2 linked regions of the Notamacropus eugenii genome follow. The protein of the gene in region 1 purifies or fractionates together with the protein of each later gene. This does not show direct contact. Links are inferred from orthologs where the notes say so. Each region holds a gene or a part of one and is shown on either strand. Other genes may lie near its edges.

Evidence for each region.
Region 2: the proteins of RPTOR (region 1) and MLST8 purify together in Homo sapiens (affinity purification with western blotting; 15 studies listed by BioGRID and IntAct, with this or other methods). This does not show direct contact. The link is inferred for Notamacropus eugenii from reciprocal best matches to the Homo sapiens genes RPTOR and MLST8.

What each region holds. Positions count from the first base shown.
Region 1 is NC_092873.1:323,389,250-323,401,450, forward strand, and holds the start of RPTOR (regulatory-associated protein of mTOR), read left to right. Parts: upstream 1-7,128; 5' UTR 7,129-7,947; coding exon 7,948-8,109; intron 8,110-12,201. UniProt on the Homo sapiens protein: Component of the mechanistic target of rapamycin complex 1 (mTORC1), an evolutionarily conserved central nutrient sensor that stimulates anabolic reactions and macromolecule biosynthesis to promote cellular biomass generation and growth.
Region 2 is NC_092872.1:47,794,192-47,806,318, reverse strand, and holds the start of MLST8 (target of rapamycin complex subunit LST8), read left to right. Parts: upstream 1-5,951; 5' UTR 5,952-6,060; intron 6,061-6,683; exon of another isoform or gene 6,684-6,772; intron 6,773-7,166; coding exon of another isoform or gene 7,167-7,462; exon of another isoform or gene 7,463-7,546; intron 7,547-12,127. Other genes in the region: hexosaminidase D-like, read right to left, coding at 7,167-7,462.

The sequences.
Region 1 (12,201 bases):
GAAATTGAAGGCAATGATTGTAGACAACTTTTTCATCAGACCATGATGTACATGAGGGCATGGACCCTTTCTCATCTCCATTTTGAATATTCAACATAAGTCTAGGTCCTCTGCACACATGAAATGGTTAACTAGCATTTGTTAAATTGCCAAGCTTAGCAATCAAGATCGTATTTTCATTTTGGAATGCTGACCTGATTCTTTCAAACCTGTATATTGATAAATATTTCCTTTTTATAAAAGCAAATTTTATTAACATTATCATATCATTATCATATTAATACTATCATAACAACAATATTTTTTTATGGGGGAACCAATCAGTACATTGAAAAAAAAAAGCTGAAAATATATTCATTGTCCCCTATCAATGAAACTCCTCAAAGGAGTGGGATTGATAATCCTTTTAGTCAATAGACAAAAAAAAAAAAAAAACGATCTAAAAGAGGGGTTTTTCCTCACTACTCTATTATGTAAATTTTGCTTTTTGTATTTTTCTTTTCTTTTTTGAGGCAATCAATGTTAAGTGACTTGCCCAGGGTCACAAAGCTAGTAAGTATTTGAGACAGATTTGAACTTAGGTCCTCCTGACTCTAGGGCTGGTACTCTATCCACTTTGCCACCCAGCTGTCCTGGCAGTTTTCTGGTTACAGGAGAAATCTATAATCACCAAGTGAGTAGGGATTTGAACCCAAATCTTTTGACTCCAGAGCCTGTGTTCATTCTATTGTTTCATTGCACTTTATCTCCTTATTAATATATTTCTCTGGTAAGCACAGAAAAAAGTAAAACGAAAGATAAAGTTCTCAGACAATTCATGTTGTGAATCAGAGATTCAAAGTAAAACATTTTGTAACATTGTGGCAAGGCATACATGCTACAGTATTTGAAGAACTCTTGTTTCTTGGCTGCTGTGGATATCTTTATCCACTGCAGTATGAGAGAAATTAGTCAGTGTTTAGGAATATTTACACCTAATCCAGAATTAATTAATATGTGATGATATGTCAAACTGATGGGGTGCTGAAGATGTATCCCTTTAGTGTCTCCTGGACTTTGCTACATGGCCTAGTTCCTGGCATTTGCCTAAGGCATCTGGCCTATCCCAGTCCTCCTTGATTACTTAATTAGTTTACTTAACACTCCTTAATCCCATCTAGGCCCCCCTTTCTCTAGTTACCTCCACACCTCCCCAGGCTACTTGCCACTTCTTGATCCCACCCAGATTTTCTCAGTCTTTTTCTATATAAAAATCAGTCCCAGACTCATTAAATGCCCAGATTGTTAAAATCTGGCTGCTTGTATTGGCATAACAAATACTGCAGACTTGCAAAATCTCACCCACCCAACCCGCGTCTTAATAAACTTGCTCCTTGGATTGAAAGATGGATTGAGTAGTAAAATTCTTTCAAGGTGGACCCATGCCCTATATCCTTGCATTTCAGGGTTTCTAGAACCCTTATGCTGCATCAAAACCTTATTTCCATTTGGACAAAACTTTAGTTTTCTGAAGCACATTAGGAATGAAATACCAGAATAGAAATTGCTGAGATTCTATTCATTAAACATATACAAATTAAAGCATTTCTGAGGTACCACCTCACACCTCTCAGTTTGTCTAATATGACGGAAAAGGAAAATGACCAATAATATTGGAGAATTGGAAATATACACACATTTCAATATGTTGAAAATACACACACACACACACACACACACACACACACTCAAATTTCCTCAGCTTTTAGGGAAATCCCAGGAACCCTTTGGGGTACATGTAATAGTTGCCCTCTAGGGATCAAGCTTGATAGTAGCAGTAGAAAGGGGCAGAATTGGTTCATGGCATGTATTGATGGTTTCTTCTGTTACCAGGATTTTACTTACTTTTTATTAATGAAAAATAACAACGGGTCTTGATTCATTAGATTTCAGTTTCTTGTAACTGTTTATAACAAAAATTAAAGCAGTAAGTTCAGTGGGCAAATTTGTAATTATTTCTGAAAAAAATGTACTTTTAATATTTGAAACTTGAATGGATCAATGACTACTATGAGTACTGCCTCCAAAGGTGCAGACAAAAATCTTGACGGATCTTCTCATCTTGTGTGACTTTTCTACCTGTCTTTCCCTAATCCTCCACAGGGAACCACCCAGCATGGTAGAGATCTTCTCTCTCTTGACATTGTAGGCCAATAGAACACATTTGCTAGTCATTGGTTCATTGGTTATCATCTCATCTACAGTCTCCTGATCTATATATTGCACAGGACATGGATGGCTCTGGAGGAGAAAGTGAGGCTGGTGACTTTGCTCAGCCCTCCTTCACTTAAATCCAATTCACTTTTAAGTCATGGCATGACCTTTTTCATATCATGGTCCTCTTTGAGAATAAAGGACAAACAACAACAATTTCATACTTGTTATATGGTCAACCCAACTTTCTTTGTCTGTTCATATATCTCTGTGATGATATCTTTTATACAATCTTTCCTGAATAACTCTTTGTTGTTAATTCTATATGTTGCAGTCCATTACCTAATTCTTCATTGTCCTTTGCATGAACCAAAATTTTAATTTATCAAAGACATGCATGATTTCCAGTCATACAGCATTGCTGAAAGAACATCAGTGTTACAAAGACTGGCTCTTAGGTCAGGTAGGTGGTGCAATGGATAGAGCACTGACCCTGGAGGCAGGAGGATATAAGTTCAAAACCAGCCTCAGGTAAGTTACTTAACCCTAATTGCTACCAAAAAGCTGAGAGACTAGCTTCATGGGTTATCTCTCTATAGAATATTACAAAAAAGAAACTATATTTTAATATAGAGGAAATGACTTGTCAGTGATGGGGAAATCATTTCCAAATCTTTGCATGCCAGACAACTGGCTTATTAAAGATAAAAATCAATATTCTATTAGAAGAAAGAATGTCCTTCCTCTCTTCTCTATAACAGAAGAAGCCATGGAGTGCAATTGAAACAAATCTAACTTAATTATTTAGGATTTTAATAAGGCTGACAAAAAATTCAAAATGTTCAAACCACTGATAGGTGGAAAAAGTGATGAATATAGCAAAGTAAGAAGTAAGGGAAATTGTCAAATAATTACCTGAGAGAACGTACTGGTTCACTGAGAAGCATTTCTATACATTTAAAGAACAAACACTATTTGGCAAATTATCCTTTCTAAGCTTTAGTTTTCCCATCTGTGACTACATGGTCTCTAAGGTCCCTTTGAACTATATAACATAAATTTTTCTAGAATACAGACCACAGTGGTGTGTGACCCAATTCTTCTTATGATACAAATATATTTTTTCTTTGAAAATCTGACAAAGATGAAGCCAGAAATGAAAGCCACATGCCAACTTCTCTTTTGAATTTAGTTGTAAAAATACTAAATTAAATCTTAGCAAAGAGTATAACACATTCAAAAATCTCCGCCATGAACAAATATGGTTTGTCCCTGGCATGCAAGGTTGTCACAGAACAAGAAAAGTTACTAGGACAATGTATCACATTAAAAAGAATATAAAAATACAGGAAAATCTGGAATCTTTAGGAATAAGTGGTGCTCCCTCTACTAACATGGATAGCAGTACTAATTCAATATTATCTAGAAAGTATTCCATAACGTTAAATCACTATAATAGACTAGAACCCTAAATAAACTGGATGTAGAAAAGCTAAGTTAGGTGCCCAGGGAAGAGATGCTGCCTCTGATTTTAGGTGATATCCCATAAGTACTAATTCCTTGGACTACAGCTATGGTATTAGCATTCCCAATATATAGAACTGTAACTCATGAGCCCCCATCAGCTTTCTTTTAACAGCTAATTAATAGACTGACAGCTAGGGGCAGGCAGGTGGTACAGTGAGTTTGGAGTCAAGAAGACCAGACTTCAAATACAGCCTCTGATAGTTATTGGCTGTGTAACCCTGGGCAAGTCACTTGCCCAGTTTCCTGATAATAATAGCATCTATCTCCCGGGGTTGTTATAAGAATCCAGTGAGATAATAATTGCAAAACACTTAGCAGAATGCCTAGAATGCTATAGTAAATGCTGTATGAATGTTGGCTGTTGTTATTATTATTAGAACCAATTAACTCTTAAGAAAGACATTAACTTACATGGCATAGTAAGGACAGAAGCTATAAAGCATTTCCCTGTGAACTTGGGATGTACTTACCCATGACTGCACACAATATTTGTGGTAAGAGTGGTCACAAGGCACATCTGTAAGGAACACATGGCCAAGGCACCTCACAACTCTGGAACTTTAGGGTCTCAATGTCCTTTCTCTCTTCTCTACAATAAAACAGTATCTCCATTTCCTCTCCTCTCATTGTTTTCTAAATCCTTTATAAAGTCTGACTTACAAACTCATCATTCAACTGAAACTGTCCTCTCCAAAGTTATAGATAATCACTTACTTCTCAAATCTAATGGCCTTTTCTCAGTCTTCATACTTCTTAACCTCTCTGCAACCTTTGACACTGCCAATCAACCTTTTTTGGTCACAGCTAGGTAGCACAATGGATAGAGCTCTGGACTTGGAATCAGGAAGAACCAAGTTCTATTACTGCCTCAAACATTAGCATTATTCAATCATGTCCTATTCTTTGTGACTCTATTTGGGGTTTTCTTGGCAAAGAATCTAGAGCAGTTTGCCATTTTCTTCTCCAGTTCATTTTACAGATGAAGAAATGGAGGCAAGCAATGTTAAATGACTTGCCCAGTCACACATCTAGTTAGTGTCTGAGACCAAATGACTTTTCCTAAGTCCAAGCCAAGCACTCTATCCACTGTACCATGTAAGGGCCCCAGACACTGGCTGTATGATGTAAAACTCTTTGCTAACTATATAGTGCTATGAGAATTCTCACTGTCCTGGATTCTCAATTTTCATACCACTATGGTTCTCCTTCTACCCTTTGGACTACTTCTTCTCCATCCCTTTTGTGCTATCTTCATTAAGGTCATACCCACCAAACTTAAGTGTTCCTCAAGGGTTTGTCCTGGTCCTTTTTCTCTTTCTATACTATTTTTCTTCGCAACATCATCTCTGAAGGATTTAGTTATCAACTCTATGATGATGACTCGAAGATCCATTTATTCAGTTCTAACTTTCTTCTCCAATAACCTTTCAATAACCTATTAGACCTCCCAACATGTCCAAAAACATAACTCATTATATACTTAAACTCTTCCCTCTCCTCCAACTTCCATATTAATTTTGAGGGCATTGCCATCTTCCCAAGTCATCCAGACTCTAAACTGACTTACCTGCACTTATTCACTTTGTTGTCAAATGTTGTCATTTTTGCTGTTCAGCTGTTTCAGTTATGTCTGACTCTTCATAACCCCATCTGGGGTTTTCTTGGTTTGCCATTTCCTTCTTCAATCCATTTGACAGATGAAGAAACTGAGGCAAAGGGGGTTAAGTCACTTGCCTTTGGTGCCTGAGGTAGGATTTGAATTCAGGTTTTCCTGACTCCAGGCCTAGAATTCTATCTTCTATGATACCCAAGCTGTCATTTCTACTTTCACACCATCTCTTATACTCATTCATCAGCTATTCTGGTGCAGAGCCTCATCACCTCATTTCATGCAGTGTTGCAACAGCTTTCTGAGCTGCTCCAGGTCTCTCCTACTCCAATCCATCCTCCTTTCAATTTCCAAAGTGATTTTCCTACAGGGCAAATCTGACCATGTTACTTCCTCCCCCCACATGTTCAGTCATTTTTGAGTCATATCCAATTGTTGGTGACCCATTTTGGGGTTTTCTTGGAAGAGACATTGGAGTGGTTTGCCATTTCCTTCTCCAGCTCATTTGACAGATGAAGAACACAGACAAATGGGGTTCAGTGACCTGCCCAAGGTCACACAGCTAGTACGTGTCTGAGGTCACATTTCAATTCAAAACCATGAAGCTTTCTGACTTCAAGCTCACCATTCTATCCTTAAAGGCAGGGCCTTCTTTTTTTCTTTTTCTTTTCTTTGTATCCTGTTCATGGGACCCTCTCCTCATACAATACATAATAAGTGCTTAATAAATGCTCCTAGATTTGATTGGAAAAGGAGAAATATGAGAGAGAATGGGGGATGAAGTTCAAGAGTTTTGAATTGTCAAAGGAGAGAAAACTTTCTCTCCTTGACAGCCGTCAAGTCCAAATTGAAGAGTGGCTTAGTGAAGGATTATTTTCTTGGTCTGATCACACTCTAAGTTGCTGGTCCTTTTATATGAAAATGAACCACTCTGGGGCTTCATAGTAATTACTTGAGGAGGGGAAGTTGGGATTAGACTGATAATACCATTCCTATTCATACCATTCCTCCTTCACTATAAACACACACACACATACATATACACACACTTATGTACACACAAAGATAAATATGCATACACATACATATATACATATGTGTGCATGTATGTGTGTATATATGGATATATACATGTATGTATGTATGCATGTGTGTGTGTGTGTGTATATATATATATATATATATATATATATATATATATATATATATATATATATATATATATATATATATATAAAGAAACTTGCCTCAGAAGGTGAAATAAATTGTTCCAGGGTTTGCAGACATCACAAGTAAGTCATCATAGAAACTTGTACTGATTTTCTTTCACCATGCTAGCCCCCCAAATAAAACTTTCACAAACAGTAGAATCCTTGAAAGAAGGTACCCCTGGTATCACCCAAGATCAAGAAAGAGCTATGACTTTAAGAGTGTTTTTTGTGAAAATTGGAGAAAGATGGTCATCATTAACTTTTCCATTTTACTTCACAGCAAATAATAAAAAAATCTCTCTCTCTCCCTTTCTCTCTCTCTCTCTCTCTCTCTCTCTCTCTCTCTCTCTCTCTCTCTCTCTCTCTCTCTCTCTCTCTCCCTCCTCCTCCATTTCCCCCCTCCCTTTCTCCAAAAGAAAAAATAAGAAAAGAGAAAAGAAAAAACACATCCCTTAATGCTACTCTACTTTTTCCTTCATCACTAAGGGGATGGGTGTCAGTAGCACTTTCCCTTTCTACTGCTTTGGCGGACAGCTCCAGGAATTTCCTCAGAAAGTTTGACCTTCTGGGGGCTCCGTAGATCGCTATGCATTGTGGGCCTTAGCAATATGGCGTCCCCCTTGGTGTGCTGATGAGCGGAGTTTCTCTCTCTGTCCCTGGACGACGAGGGGAAATTCCTCAAGTCAAACGATCTCTTTCTCCGTCGCCCAGGAGGGTCCTGTACCTGGCGTTTCCCCTCTCCCTGCCCTCAGGCCTAAGGGAGTGGCGGGGAGCCTTTGGGCGGGGACGAGCCAGGCCTCGGGAACCCAGGGTAGACCTGACGGAAGCCTCCCGCAGGCGGACACTATGGGCCGATCTTGGCTTCGGCTGCAGCAGCTCCGGAGAGTGCGGGGTCCGCAGGGCTGAGAAGCGCCCCGAGGAGGATCCCTGTCCCCCGTTCCCCGTCGCCTAGCCCCCTCTCGGATCTCCCACCCGCCTGACCGGCGGCCCGCAGGCAGCGACAGCTTGCGACCTTCCCGCCCGCCTCCTCGGGATCGACCGGAGGCCGGTCCGGCCCCGGTGGCCTGGAGCAGGGTCATCGGAGGTCCGAGGGCTCCCACGCTTTTGACAGCTCCATTCTCAGCCAGCTCGGGGCTCCATCCGACAGCCCACGAAGAAGTCGGTGTGGCCTGAAGCCCGGGGGCGTGGGCCCCTGGCCCTGGGGTTCTTGGCATTCCCACGCGGAGATAAGCCTCGGGAACTTGGCCAGCCCCCCGCTCCATACTGGGACGGCCTCGCCAGTGCTTCTCTTTTCCCCGCATCCACCCCTCGTTCCCATATTTCATCCTTTCTGGTGCCCACGACTCTCTAAGGCTGGAGGTTCTCGAGCGTTTGTTGCCCAGGACTCCCCCACCTCCTCCCACCCTCATGGAGTCCGAGATGCTGCAGTCGCCTCTTCTCGGGCTTGGGGAGGAGGACGAGTCCGACCTGACCGACTGGAACCTGCCTTTGACTTTCATGAAGAAGAGGCACTGCGAGAAGATCGAGGGCTCCAAGTCCTTGGCCCAGAGCTGGAGGATGAAGGACCGGGTAAATAACCGTCCTCTGCTTCCCCTTTAACTGTGGTAATTTTCCCTCCAGGGGGATCTCAGTCTAGTCCGGGTGAAGCCCGGGGCAGTATCTTGGGTGTTGTGCGGTCCTGTCTACCAGCCACATGTTGCATATCTTCTGCACCTAACAATCAAGTGGTACTTCTGCTCTAGTTTTGTTTTGTTTTTTTAAAAGAAAGACCAGCCTGAAAAACTTCAGGTGACTGATAAAGTTAGAATTAATGTAGAAAGAAACTTACTTTATTTATGGTTACCATTTTGTATACAGCTCAAGGAACATATTCCCTGCCATTCTGGCTTGGAGAAGAGTCGATTACAAACCACAAACTATTGCTTATAATTAGTGATTAGTCTACTTTTTAAACTTTTACTACTAATTAAAATGAAAAAAGTAAATAGTGTGTGGTAATCACGTGGGGCCACAAGTAAATCTAAGTTATGGAATATGGTCAGAACTACTGCCGGAGGTGGCAGCTGGTGAGATAAACTTTTGTTTTCAAGATAGATATGGATTGGACCTGTGATTTTATTGCTATAGGGAGCTCTTAGGTAAGAAAAATTCTCAACAGTAATAATGCAGGTCTACATCGTGCAACTTGCTCAGAGCACTGAGAGGTTAAGGGACTTGATCTAGTCAATATGTATCAGAGGTGGGTCTGGAACTCCTGTATTCTTGGGCTTCTCTATATACACCATTCTCATGGACCCTCTGTTTTCAAGACCCAATCAGTTTTAACATTCTAAGTAACTTGTCATAACCCCAAACTTTCCATATTTTACATGGCAGGAAATTGGAGAGAGGATTTCCAGTACAGTGAATTAGGTAATGTGGTGGATCGCCATTCCAGGCTATTGTTTCGGGAGGGAGAGAAGAAACTACTTGTGTTGGCAGTGACTTTGGGAGGCTTCCAGTGGGGAAGAAGATGGGTTAGCCAGGTAGTATTACTGTATCTGATATTCATATGCATTGCATATCCACATAACTTTCATCACAATAACCAAAGAAAATGAGTTGGACTACCAATTTCCCAGCTTCTTTTTCCATTCATTTAAATCCAATTTCACTAAAGGTGAAATCTTTAGTATTCCCTTAAAAATCACAACAAATAGGTATAAAATTACACAGGAAAATTTCTAATTTAGCCAGTCATTAGTATTTTTGGTATTTTGGTGACTTTTACTTGTAAAATGAATGGAGAAGATCTTTCATAAGCCAAAAAGTAAAGTATAAATGATAAGATCCTCAAGAATTGTGGACATCCTTTGGAGTTAATGTATGTCTTTGATGCTATTTAAAGGCTTTGTAGTTCTTGTGGTTGCTGTGAGCGTTTGAATAGCAATATTTTGTAAAACAAATCCATCCAATTTTTTAAGTATAATCTTGGTGCACCCTGCTTTTTTTCTAAAAAAGCATCACATCTTGTTTTTAATATGACAGAAAAGTCTTTCATAATGACTAGTTGTGAAATGTAGCTCTTGTTCTAAATCTGATGTTTCATCTGGCCAAAAGTGATGTGATTTCTTTTAACTTTGACTTTTTAAAACTAAAATTCTAAGTTGGGAAAGGCAAAACTCCTTAATAAGCTCCTTACAGAACACTGAGAAGAAAAATAAAAGTCCTGTAGTTCTGAATACCTTACTGAGAAGAATATTTTCATTGGCTGTGAAAATAGTCTACACTATCAGTTTGTAAATGACCTTTTGGAGTAATTTTAGAACCAACTATTATCTTTCCATTCAAAGATGCCTTGGGAAGTTGGGTCCATGGCTTCTCTCTGATGAGCCACTTGAGGGGATGTCACTTAAGAAACTTCCATTAGAGAGACGACCGTAAGCAATCACTATGGTTCCAGGCATACAAGCCAGACTATTCCATTGTTCTAGAAGGCATCTTTCTTCATGGTTAATTGAACATCATACTCATCCAAAAGTTCTACTAAGTACCTGATTTCACTGCTTCATCATCGGATCACAGATTTAGAGTTGGTACTGACCTTAGAGACCAACTCTTTGATTTTGTAAGGCCCAGAAAGGGGAAGTAACTTACTCAAGGCCTCAGGTGGGATGTAGATCTGATCCCTGGTCTCAAGTAATTTAACCTGCCTGGGTGAGGGGGTATGAAAGTAGTAGAACAAATTCCATGAAGTAGATATTAAAGTAGCCATTACTTTATAATCATATATTGTATTGGCTATGCCAATCCATATTGGTAATTGCGTAGTAAACTTTTTAAGGGTAAGAGTGGGGTAGGGAGGTACAAGTTTAAGGTATTGGGTTGATAAAATGTAGCTTGAGCTTGGTGAAGGAAATTTGTCAGCACTTTTTTTTTTTGACAAATTTGGTAAGACTGCCAGATTTGTGTTCATTCACAAAAGAGGCCCTCACAATTGACTTCAAGGGGCAAAAGAGCCTCAGGCTATAGTTTATTGGAGGGACCCTCTTCAGGAACAGTGAGGGAACCAATCATGTACAGCATAACGAATCTCTTCTGTCAAGATGTGGCAACTGATACTGGTTATCCTCACCCTGGCAAAAATCAAATGTAACCCTAACATTATGTTGCCTATGTGTAGCTAGTTAGCAGTGCTCTGTTAAGACTCCTGCCTTACATTGAGCCATATGACATGGGTTAAGAAAAATAGCAAATTACTTCTGTTATTTCTATTGACAGATTAGATATTTATGAAAAATAACTCCCCACAGAATGATTGAACTTTTTTTCTCTTGTTTTCCTGAGGCATCTTCATCCCTCTCCTCTCCTCCCCCCCTCCATTGGTTGATATTTAAAAACTAAATTTAGTGTATGAATGAATACATCTTTTAGAAATATCAAAAATTTTGTACTATGATTTTTTCATTTTTCTGTTGAAAGGCTTTTCACTATCACCAAACTCTCATGGGATACATTTTGTCTAGCTACAAAAAGAAAATGGGAAAACCTGATGTTAAAATATTCTTTGTGAGTTCAGAAATGAATGAGAACATTTTTTCCCTCTCATTATCACTTTGTAGGATTCTGAAGTTGGTATTTTAATTAGAATGCAGGTGGTTATATATAGATGGATCATGGGATCATAACTGGAAAAAAATCTACTCCAACCTCCCTCATTTTACATACAAAAGAAACTGAGACTTCCCAAGTGTCACAGTTAGTAAGTAGTATTAGAGGCAGAATTTGAACCCATCCTCCTTTTCTAGAGATAGATCTCTTTTTGTCTATGCCAAAAGCTTATTCTCAACACCTTTTATTTTTAAAGGGAAACTAAGAGTAATATGTTAAAAGCCTAGAGAGGAGAGAGTATCAGTGAGGGAGAAGGTGGTCATTCGTGTCAGCTGTTGTCTCTGCCATGCTGCCTCTCCAGCTGCACCTACAGTTTTTTTTATCCCTTTCACCTTTTATTTAAAGTTGACTAAAATTCACTTTGGTCATCCACAGTACCTTGTTGCAGTAGGGCTACTTTTAACATTTCCTTTTTAGCATGATTCAGTTACCTAGAAAATGCTATTTCTGTGAAAGCACTGACATAATATGTTAATGTTTTAATTTTATTTTTAGAGATAAGGAGCAGGCTGACATCAGGTGCTGATAGTTGTGCCTTTGTAGAGAATTTGGAACCCTTAGAGATAGAATAGGAGTGCATATGAAACTAAGTGAAATTTTTTTTTCTGAAAAAAGATAATTTCTTACAGGAGCTAAGTATATCTAGTCCTCAATATTATGTTTTTTTCAAATTAAAAAAATCATTGACCAAATTCATATATTTATTCTTAATTTTTGAATAATGTCAACCATCACTATCAGTAAAACCCTCCACCCACAACATTGAATTTTTCTGTTGTTTCATTATATTCCAACCTTAACTCATAATACTTACATGCAAAGGGAGGTGCCTGGTACATAGTAAAAACTTGATAAATGCTTGTTGACTGACTGTGCTTGAGTGTGTGGGGGAGGCCAGATATAAATGAAATGTTACTAGAACTTAATTACACTGGTGAGACAATATACAGCCATATGAAAAGTTAAGTAAAAATACAAGGTAATAATTATTAAAACACATTTGAATAATGC
Region 2 (12,127 bases), on another chromosome or scaffold:
GAAGATAATGCAGTTGTTATGCTGCATGAGCTGCCTGAAACCGTCGAAATTTGCCTATCCCCAAAGAGATAACCACAAAGGAAGGCATTTGAGAACTGGTTACTTAACTTGCCATCAGTGACTAGGAATTGGTGAGCAACTTTAAAACCCCCGGGGTAATAAATGAATGAACTGAGAAGGATGTACATGTCCTGTAGGGAAGAGATGCCCTCCTCCCTTCTCAGCAGCAAGTGACCCAGGTATAGCACCCTCCTCAGTCAGTTCATAAACATTTATTAAGCACCTACTATGTGCTGGTGACTGTGCTAAGCGATGGGGATACAAAAACAAGCAAAAGATAGTCGCTTATCCTTAAGGAGCTAACAAACAAATATGTACAAACATGTTCTATGCAGGTTAAATAGGAAATACTTAAGAGAGGGAAACAACTAAAATTGAGACAGGTTGGGAAAGGTTTTTTGTAGAAGATGGGTTTTTAGCTGGGACTTAAAGGAAGCCAAAGAAGCCAATAGGTGGGGGACAGCCAGAGAAAATGCCCAGAGCCACGAGATGGAGTATCTTGTTCATGGAACAGCCAGGAAGCCAATGTCACTGGATCAGAATATGTGGCAGGTAGAAGTCACCTAGGTTTGAAAGACAAACAGGATTTTGTATTTGATCCTAGAGGTGATAGGGAGACATTGGAGTTGACTGGGGTGGGTGAGGAGTGGTGTGATCAGACTTGTGCTTTAGGAAGGTCAAATATGAATCAAATATGGATTGGAGTGGGGAGAGATAAGGCCGACAGATGAACATCCAGTGCCCTGTTCAAACAGCTGCAAAGTCTACTTCCAGATGACTGGCTATTAGTCAACAAGTTACAGTCATGGGGGCAACAACATGGAAATTCCAGTCATTTTCAGGATGCATCACTGCCTATTAGAATATGTCCTAGCTAGGACATGCCACAAAAATGAGGCAAGAGGGTTGGGGACTGCTGCAGATAAATGTAAGTGATATCTACTGAGCCTCAGGGAACCTGCCTTTGCCTTATTTTATTCATCATATCATGGGGGACTGGCCAATGAGGGCTTGATTCAGGGAGCATGCTCAATAGGTTCTGCCTGCTGGCAACCCAGGCAAGCTAATCTAAGGAGAAAGCTAAGGAGTTTATGAGCTGATGAGATCTCTCTCTCTCTCCATTTCTCTCTCTCTCTCTCTCTCTCTCTCTCCCCCTTTCCCTTTTCCTCTCTCATATGTGTACATCTTTACATGTCTGTACATCATTACATGTATGTACATCTTTATATAAGTATATATTTACATATATGTACATCTTCACATATATACAGAGAGAGATCTAGAACAGAGTATTGGGTAAAATCTCTTTTTCAAGTGTAATAGAAATGGAGAAGTACCCTTAAAGAAGGGAATAGTCAAAGAGATTGGAAGAGTAAGATGAAAATGTAGCATAGCCTGTACTTGGCATGGATTGTCCCTCTGGGCTGCCTCAGTCATTCAGCCTTCATTCTCCCAGTTAGTCTGGATTTCCCAGAGAGGGGTATGCCAAGCTGCCCCAAATCAAAGCTCTCTGTTGGGGTCTAAGGTAAGGTAGGGATAGAGCTAGAAGCCATCTAGGTTGTCTGCCCCTGGCTTCATGTGATTCCTTTTGTTCTCTGCTTCCTGGCCTACTTCTCCTTCTGTCTAAACTACAGTTTCTTCTCCTGCTCTTTTCTTAATCTCCTCTAATGCTTCCTAGTGGTCAGTGACTCATACCTTATGAGGTAAAACTCAAGAAATCCTTCTTTTCATTGCACCTTCATATTCTATCAGTTCATAAACTCCCTAGACTTAAAGATACCTTGTCCATTGCAGAATCTTCCACCTAGAGACGGAAAATGGAGGCCCAGAGGTGCACAGGTAATAAGTGAAAAAGGCTGGACCAGAATGGCAAGTCAACTCACTTTGAACTCAATATTTGCATTTGTACTTTGTACCACATCACCCTGCTCCCATTACCCCCAGCATCATTACCTCCTCTGTCCCCTTTCTGGTGAAGTCTAGCTGTTCTTTAAGAGCATCCCTATCTATAGGTCTGCTCAGATCCTAGATACCTGCCTCTCCTCTCCTTAAGGACTCTATGTCTGCTTTTCTGCTCAGGAGCTACATGTTTAACTGCCTTTTAAGGCTGCTATTCCTATTAGGACCTAGATTTCCATCTGTCCACTCAGATTTTAAATGTCAGTCTATCTCTTCAGGGTTTAAATATTTCCATTGGGTGCCCATCTGCCTCTTTCAGTATTTGGATGTCTCTGTCTTCACTTTATGGCCTAGTTGTCTTTATTTCTCAAAAAGCTTGGATGTTGGTCTATCTACTCCGATCTTGGATTCTTGTCTCTTTCAGGGCCTGGAAATCTACCTGTCCCAGTCAAGACCTCTGTTCCCTCAGGGCACATGTGTTCTGTTTCTCCTTTCCAAAGGTTGAATATGATAATGCATAATTACAGAATGAAAGAATCAGATCTCTGGAGCTAGAAGGGACTTCAGGGGCCATTTATTCCTATACCCACTAGAAAGATAAGAAAAACAGAGACCTAAGAAAGTCTAAATGATTTACCCAAGACCACACAGATGGTAAGATTGGTAGGAGCTGAATACAGGTCCTTTGACTTCGAAGCTGATTAATTCACTTTCTACTGTGACACACTGCTTCCGGGTGTGATACCTGTCCTCTCCAGACTGAGATGTCCATTTTTTCTCTAATGGGCCCTTCATGTCTGTCATTTTCAAAGCCTAATGATTAGACCCTAATATCTGTCTCTGCCCTTCAGAACTGGAAGTCTGCTCACTCACTCAGCTAGGTGGCTAAATGGATAGAGCACAGGGCCTGGAGTCAGGAAGACCTGAGTTCAAAGCCAGCTCAGATACTTACTAGTTGTGTGACCCTAGGCAAGTCATTTAACCTCTGCTTGCTTCAGTCTCCTCAACTGTAAAATGGAGATCGATAATCACAGCACCTACCTCATCAGGTTAGGATTAAGATCAAATTAGACAACATACTGAAAAAGTGTTTAGCACAAGTGCCTGGTGCAAAATAGGTATTTTTTTTTTAAATGCCTGTTCCCTTCCCCTTTCCTTATCTGGTGACCCTGGGTGTATTTTTCCTCTCTGAGTCAAGTCTGACTTGGTCTCTCTTTTTCAGGACCTGATTGTTTATTTCCTCTGGGTCTGAATATCCAATTGCCCCAGTCTGTATGTCCCTCCCAAGGAAGGGCAAGGAGTTATCTCTCCTCGATTTGAAAAAGAACATCTCTCCCCTCGCAACCTTGGGTGTTTTCACCCTCTATCCCTTTAGAGCCTGACCCTGTGTCATTGATAGGTCCTGAATATTTATCTGTTCTCTGAGAATCCACTGTCAGTCAATATCTGAAAAAGCTTGAATATTTTTCTTTCCCCTCAAAGTCAGATGTCTCTGTCTATCCCTTTCAAGACCTGAGTATCAGTCTGTCCCCTCAACAATTCAACAAACATTTATTGTCTACTCTGTGCCAGGCACTGTGCTAAGGTAAAAGACCCTGCTCTCAAGGAGACTAACAGGGGAGACCACATGCTATGTACACACAAAATACATAAATGATGAGTTGGAGAGAATGAACAGAGGGAAGGCACCAGCATTGATAGAGGATTGGAAAGTGCCATTTGTGTCTAAGCTACCAAGGATCCAAACAAACACACACACACACACACACACACACACACACACACGTTTCTGCTCTCAAAGAGTTTATAAGCTTATATTCAATGTTTGACTAATTACATAGTTCCGTAAATACAAGATAATATAAAGAGGGAAAGGATACTAACAACTAAAGAGAAGAAGAAAGGCTTTCTATAGGAGATAGTCCTTGAATTGAACATTGAAAGGAGTGATAGATTCTAGGAAGGAAAGATGAGAAGAGATTATATTACCAAATTCAGGTAGTGCTAAATAGCTCAGTGCTGCTGGAATGTAGAACACATAAAAGGGAACAATGTGAAATAAGAGTGGATAGATTGGGTGGGGCTAGATTTAAAATGCCAATTTAACATGCTTTTATTGGGCAATTGGGTGGTCCAATGCCAGTGCTGGAGTCAGGAGGACCTGAGGCAAATCAGGCCTCAGATACTTACTAGCTGTGTGACCCTGGGCCCAGTCACTTAACCCTCTTTGCCTTAGTTTGTAAAAAGTTTGTAAAAGAAGCTGGAGAAGGAAATGGCAAATCACTCCAGCATCTTTACCAAGAAAACCCCCAAAAGGGTCATAGAGAGTCAGAACTGACTGAAACGATTCAACAACAAATTTAGTTAGATACCGTGTTCAGTGCTAGGGATACAAAGGCAAAAGGAAAAATAATATCTGTCCCTTAGAAGTTTACAGTCTGCTGAGAGGATACTACATTCCACAGTAGGTAAATACAAGATACTTTGAGAAGGGAGAAAATGGTAACAAGGAAAGTGATTAGGAAAGGCTTCCTGTAAGGAGATAACCTACAAGTTGAGCCTTAAAGTAAAGGAAGACATCTAACTGTTAGGGGTTCAGAGGATTGTAGGTGTGAAAAATGGAAGGTTCAGGGCATGCTCTGTAAGTCAGTTTGGTTGGCATAGGGGAAGAAGCTGAAATAATGCTGGAAAGGCATTTTGGTGCCAGGTTGGGTTAAATTCCAGGTGAAGGAATATGTGTCTTATCCTAGGGGAAATAGGGAATTTTTGAGCAAGGAAATGACATGGTCAGGCATTAGGAAGATTTTTTTGGTGGTTATATATAGAGAATGACATAGAGAGAGGAGAGAGTAGAAGCAGGGAGACCTATTGGAAGGCTACTGTAGTAATCCAAGGGAGAAGTGAGGAGTGTTTGAACTGGACAGGAGGCCAGGTGAATGGATGGATTCCAGAAACTAACAATACTCAACTACTGATTGTTTGGGGGAGGAATAATAGTGGTTCTCTTAATAAAAATAGGAAGTTTATAGCAAAAGTAGGTTTGGGCAGCTAAGTGGTTCAGTGGGTAGAGTGCTCAGCCTGAAGTCAGGAAGATTCACTTTCTTGAGTTCAAATCTAGACTCAGACATTAGCTGTTTGACCCTGGGCAAGACATTTAACCCTGTTTGCCTTAGTTTCCTCATCTGTAAAAATGAGCTGAAGAAAGAAATAGCAAAGTACTCCAATACTTTAAAAACCCTAATGAAGTCATGAAGAATTGGATAAGACTGGTGAGCAACAAAGGTCTGGGGATAGGGATGGAAGACATGGAGTTCAGTTCTGGACACGTTGAATCTGAGATGGAGGAAGGGGAGAGCCACCCAAGATATCAGAGGATGATGAGGCTCAGCAGGCAATTATTTGGTTATGTGGCTTGAAGTTTAGGAAAGATGTTAGTCAGTCAGTAGTCAACAAGCAATTCCTAGCACTTAACTGTGCCACAGGAACTGTGCTAAGCACCAAGGACGTAAAGAAAATTTTAAAAACTTGGTCCCAACTCTAGAGGATCTTACATTTTAAAGAGGGAAACTTGGAAATACATACATACATCTACATGTATATACATATATATGGTATATATAAACAAGTGTGTATTTATATGGAAAAGGAGGAAGAGAGAGAAGGAGAGAAGGAGAGAGAGAGAGACACAGAGAGAGAGAGAGAGACAGAGAGAGAGAGAGAGATTGAGATTGGGAACTGACAAGATCACCAAGAAAGAAATTACAGAAAGAAAAGAGAAAGCCCCGGACAGAGATGAATGGAGAGGAAACAAAGGAGACGGAGGAGTAGTTAGACAGACAGAAGGAGAACCAGGAGACAGAAGCATTTCAAATCCAAGGGAAACAGAATATCCTGAAAGAGGATGTGGTCAGTGCAATCAAAAGCTGCAGAGGTCAAGAGGGATAAAAGCAGAAGAAAAAAGACATCGTGTTTAACCCTTACGAGCCTGCTGGTAAACCTGCACCTCGCCTAGCGCTTGGTGGGCATTTCATAAGCGCCTGCTGAATAAAGATGTGAGAGAAAGAGGAGATGACAGCGGGGGCGATCTGATGAGAAGCAGGGGTACGTGGACAGGGGCTGACCTTCATCGGAGTCGGTATAAAGGGGGAGAGAAATGGGGAGGGGCTGAGAGAAGGGGAGAAGAGGGAGCTAGGGACAGGTTGCCCCAATTTAATGTCCCCATGACAGGACGATGCCAGGTCCTAGGCTGGGGGGCTGGAAGGTGGGGGTGCGCTGCGAAGAAGCTGCAGTGGGAGGAGAAAAGGGGTCCAGAGCCGATGCGGTGCGGAGAACCCACTAGGAAGGAGCAGAAGCTTCAGAGAAGCTCGGCGGAGAGGAGACAACATCAATTGGTAGTGGATGTGGTTGAGCCCACGGCCTGTGCAAGGTCACGTGCTCTCATTTCTGCTGCGCACAGCGGGGGTCCCCTTCAGGTGGGGAGGTGTATGGTGGTCAGCACTGTCCGATGGGGCAGAAAGGCCCACGAGGCTAAGGACGGAGAAAAGGTCATTAGATTGGGCCACCAGGACTTCAATATGCAAATGAGACGCAAGGGGACAGCCCCAGGGGGCTCCTAAGGAGACGAGAAGTTCCCCCCACCACGCCGAACTATGGTCTCATCCAGTTTCCCTTCCCCCTCCTCTCCCATGGTTTCGCCCTAGAGCTAAAAGAATCCAATCGATGATGCTATGCTCAGGTTCGCTGCCCATCGATTCGTTCCGACTCTCCCAGCCGTCCTGAGCCCCGGTGGAGAGGGGATCCTTGTGTGAGTGAGGTACGGTGCCTGGGTCCCTGCGGCAGGGGGCTCGGGAGGCAGATTGCGCGGCGTCGGGGGCAGAGAGGGGAAGCTTTAGGCAGCCGGCGCGACTCCACGCACGGACCCGGGCTGGGACTGAGCTTAAGGTGGCTCCCGACCCTAAAAACCCCCGCCTCACAGACTTGACTGTGTCGAACTGAGCATGCGCGCCATGGCAGCGGCGGCGGCCGAGGCTTAATCTCGGCGGCTGCCCCCCTTCGCCTCCCCATCGCCCCTCCCTCCTCTCAGGCCTTGCGCCTGCGCTTCGCACGGCTGCGCCACTCCCTGGCCTGGCAGGCGGTGGCTGCCCCCTTGCGGCTGCCACGCAAATGCGGGCTGCAGGGCTGACCGCCCTGCAGGGGGTCCCACCTACCTTGTTCCTTGTGCTCGGGGAGGGTGAAAAGGGGACAGCCTCTTTTTCCTTTGAGAGGGGGTCCGACCTTCTGGAACTTGGGCTCCTAGAAGCCAGAAGAGGTGCTTCAGGAGCGGCCTCATGCATTCAGCAGACACCTGTGCGTGTAAACGCTTGTTACTGTTGGTGTCCCTGAAATCGACCAGAAGCTTGTCGATTTCAGGCCCTGCGCAGACAGGACCTGGGCCGTTTTCTGCAGTGCCCTTGCACAGTGCCTTCTCCTCGGAATGGGTATCTGTACAGGCAGCACTTAGCATAAGGTGCTGCACCCAGTAGGTGCTTAATACTGTGCTAGACTGTTAAGTACCTATTTTCTGCAATGCGAACATCCAAGACCTATTTCTGCCTTCATAGAGTTAGAGAGTACAGAGCACATGGTGGAAATTGTTTTGTCATCCCATGGCTGTCTATGAAGCAGAGTGTATGTGAGGAGGAATGTTCTGGGCTGGGCCAGATCCAGGTCAGAACTGTAATTCAGATTCAGTATTGAAACAAAATGGGACAGTCACTTAACATTTATTAAGCACCTAACTATATGCCAAGTGTTGTGGAGACAAGGAAAAAGAACACTCAGATCATTCAGCAATTGGAAGAGTGGGTAGAAAGCTGGGTCTGGAGTCAGGAAGTCTTGAGTTCAAATATGACCTCAGATATTAACTGCCTGTATCACCCTGGGCAAGTCACTTGATTTCTTGGTTTTCTCAGTTCCCTGAACTATAAAATGAGGATAGTAATAGCACCTACCTCCCAGGTTTTTTGTGAGGTTCAACTGAGATGATATTTGTAAAAGGTATTTAGCATAGTATCTGGCACATAGTAGATTTCTGTTCCTGTCCTTTCATAGCTGCAGGATATCCAATAAAATTAAGCATGGAAGACATCTCTAGTTGATTCAACTGAATGAAGCTCTCATCTAAAGACAATGAATGTCATACATTTTCCAGCAGCCAGATATAGATAACAACTGAAGTTCCTCCTGGCTGTTTTGTGCTCAAGCAATGAGGAAACCAGTTCATCAGCCTGAGCCTTTGGTTCAATACTTTTTTTTAATGATTTGACCAAAATTTCTTATTTAAATAAATCTCTTTCATGCATAAGTATGACGCATTTCCCCACCATTTTATTAGGCTTTGACAGCTAAAAAAAATCAGTCAACCTTGTACAGAACAGTGAAATGCCAAGAAGAAAAGATACTGTAGGTTATGTATTTATATGTACACATACATATATTTATCTGCATATATACAAATACAGAGATATATTTGTTAAAGGCCTTTCTTTGGTTTTATCAACTATAATTTTAGGTCACTAAAACCAGATTTTTTTAAAATAGTATTTTCTTTTTCCCCAATTACATGTAAAGACAATTTTTAACATTCATTTTTTATTTTTACAATTTTGAGTTCCAAATTTTTCCACTCCCTTTTTCACCTCCCCCCTCTGAGACAGTAAGCAATTTGATATAGATTATACATGTTCAGTTATGTAAAACATATTACCATAGTAGTTATGTTGTGAAAGAAAACACAGACCCAAAGGAAATAAATACAGAAAGTGAAAAATAGTATGATTTGATCTGCATTCACACTCCATCAGTTCTTTCTCTGGAGGTGGATAGCATTTTTCAGCATGAGTCCTTTGGAATTGTCTTAGATCTTTGTATTGCTGAGAACAGCTAAGTCATTCACAGTTTGATCATAGTACAGTATTTCTGTTACTAGGTACAATGTTCTCCTTAATCTGCTCACTTTGTTTTGCATCAGTTCATGTAAGTCCTTCCAGGTTTTTCTGAAATGAGCCTGTTCACCATTTCCCATAGCACAGTAGTATTCCATTACAATCATATATCACAGCTTGTTCAGCCATTCCCCAGTTGATGAGCATCCTCTCAGTCTCTAAATCTTTGCCACCACAAAAAAAGCTGCTATGAATATTTTTGTACAATTGGTTCATTTTCCTTTTTTTAATCTCTTTGGGATATGGATCTAGTAGTGGTATTGCTGGATCAGAAAGTATGTACAATTTTATAGCCCTTTGGATGTAGTTCCAAATTGCTCTCCAGAATGATTGGATCAGTTTACAACTCTACCAACAGTGTATTAGGGTCCCAGTTTTCCCACATCCCCTGCAACATTTATTATTTTCCTTTTCTGTCACGTTAGCCAATCTGATAGGTGTGAGGCGATACCTCAGAGTTGTTTTAACCTGCATTTCTCTAAACAATAGTGACTATGACTATAGATAGCTTTGATTTCTTTGCCTGAAAACTGTCTATTTACACCCTTGACCATTTATCAATTGGGGAATGACTTGTATTCTTATAAATTTGACTCAGTTCTGTATATATTTGAGAAATAAGGCCTTTATCAGATTTTCCATTTCAGTTTACTTGGTGTAAAATTGTTTCCCAGCTTTCTGCTTCCCTTCTAATTTTGGTTTTGTTTTGCATTGGTTTTGTTTGTACAAAACTCTTAATATAATCAAAATCGTCCATTTTAGATCTAGTAATACTCTCTGTCTCTTCTTTGGTCATAAATTCTTTCCTTCTCCATAGATCTGACAGGTTAACTACTCCTTGCTCTCCTAATTTGCTTATGGTCTCATCCTTTATGTTTAAATCATGTACTCATTTTGATTTTATCGTGGTATATGTTGGTCTATGCCTAGTTGCTACCATATTCCTTTCCAGTTTTCCCAAAAGTTGTTGTTAGATAGTAAGTTCTTGTCCCCGAAGCTGGGGTCTTTGGGTTTATCAAATACTAGACTACTATGGTCATTTCCTACTAAGTCTTGTGTGACTACTGTGTTCCACTGCTCCACCACTCTGTTTCTTAACTAGTACCAGATAGTTTTGATGATTACTGCTTTATAATACAATTTGAGATCTGATATGGCCAGGCTACCTTCCTTTACATTTTTTTCATTAATTCTCTTGATTTTTGTTTTTCCAGATTAATTCGAAATTAATTTTACGATTTTTTTCTAGCTCTGTAAAATAATTTTTTTGTAGTTTGAGTGGTATGGCACTGAATAAATAAATTAATTTAGGTAGAATTGTCATTTTTATTACGTTGGCTTGGCCTACCTATGAGCAATTACTATTTTTCCCATTGTTCAGATCTGACTTTATTTGTGTGAAAAGTATTTTGTAATTGTGTTCAAAGTTCCTGGGTTTAGGATAGATACCCAAGTATTTTATATTGTCTACAGTTATTTTAAATGGAATTTCTCTTTCCTTCTCTAAAGATAGATTATGAAAATTATTCTTTAAGTTCCCTAAGATGCCCATTGCTGTCACTGTCCACCATAATCCAGGCCACTTCTGCATTTCATCAATAATGTTATCTGTAAAGTCTCCCCAAATGAGGATTGCCTGAGGGACCTCAGGAAAGTTTCTGAGCGAAAATGGTTTATGTTTAAAAAGGCTAATTTCAGAAGTTGCAAGGCTGCATATCTTCGTTAGATATTTCTTCTTTGTTCTAGGAATTTTGGCTATCCTAACCTTTGGCAGCACTCTTCTTTTTTTGTTTTATTTGGCTCTTTCCACCTGTCTTGTGTTATTTTCTTCTCTTTCTCTTTTTCTCTTCCACAGTGAATTTTATAAACTCATTTGGCAGCATCAATATGTATTTACAGTGCTCAGCTGAGAATGAACAGACTCCATAGTAAAGGAATTGAAGTGGGTAACTTGTGTCTAACTTGGTAATGTTCCTCAGTTTCCTTTATACTTGGGAGCAGCGGACTCAGAAAAGTTCATAGGTATCTCATCAATCCGTGCTCACAGCCCACTGCTGCCTCCACACATTGAATACATGCAGTTCCCTCTCCTCTCCCAAGCCCAAGAACCCTCAGCCTCAATGCCTTTTTATGGAAAAATTAGTCTAACTTATAGGGGTACAAGAATTGGGATGTTGCTCCTTCTATAAGGAGTGATCATGTAAAAGTAGCTCAAAGCTGTATTGTGGAGAGCCTGAAAATCCAGGTTCTGTTTTATCCTAGAGACAAGAGGAAACTGCCACAGGTAGTACAAGCCTCATGATAGAGGACTTCTAATTTTACAAATGAGGACATGTGTAAAGCCTCATCTGAAGTTCTCTGATACCTAAGCATGGCATGGGGGGTGTCTCCAGGTTCTCCAAGGCCATGTGCCTATGTCTTCCCCATCCTCAAGAAACCTTTTTTCGATTTTCCTCCATTTCTTCTCCTCCCTCCTCACTCATCAACCATTTGTGGTCTGGCTTCTGAACCCACCCACCCTCTGGTGAAATTACTCTTGAACAAGTTGGTTTCCTAATTATTTATTGCTATGGCATTTTCTGAGTCCCCATCTTATTTGACTGCTCTGCAGTTTTTGATACAGTCAGCTACTCACTCTTCAGACATTTTTTCCTCTCTGTTTCCATGACACTTTTCTTGACTTTTTCTCCTCTTAACCTTCTTAATTTTCTTCACTGGATCATTCCTACCTCTCCCACTCTATGTAAGCAGAGCACCTCAGTGCTGTGTGCTGGGACCTCTTCCTTTCTGCCTCTGTATTCTCTGTTTTGGTGATCTTATCGGTTCCCATGTATCCAACTGTCACCTTAAAACAGAGCATTCCCAGGTTTATAAATCTAACCCTAATCTCTCCTCTTAACTCTAGCTTCTCATTAACAGTTGTCTGTTGACCATCTCCATCTTGATGTCCCATTAGCATCTTGAATTCAGCTTGTTCAAACTGATGCCGTTTAGGAATCTTGCCCCTTGTAGGAATTTTGAACAGCCTTCTCAGTAAGGTGGATATGTTTGTTTTGAGCCATTCACACATTCACAGCAGGTCATCTTAGATTTGGATTCATCCTTCTATGGGGAACCCATTTCATCATGCTTCACTTCAACATCTGAGAAAAGCGTCTTTGCCCACTGAACCATCAAGCGCTTAA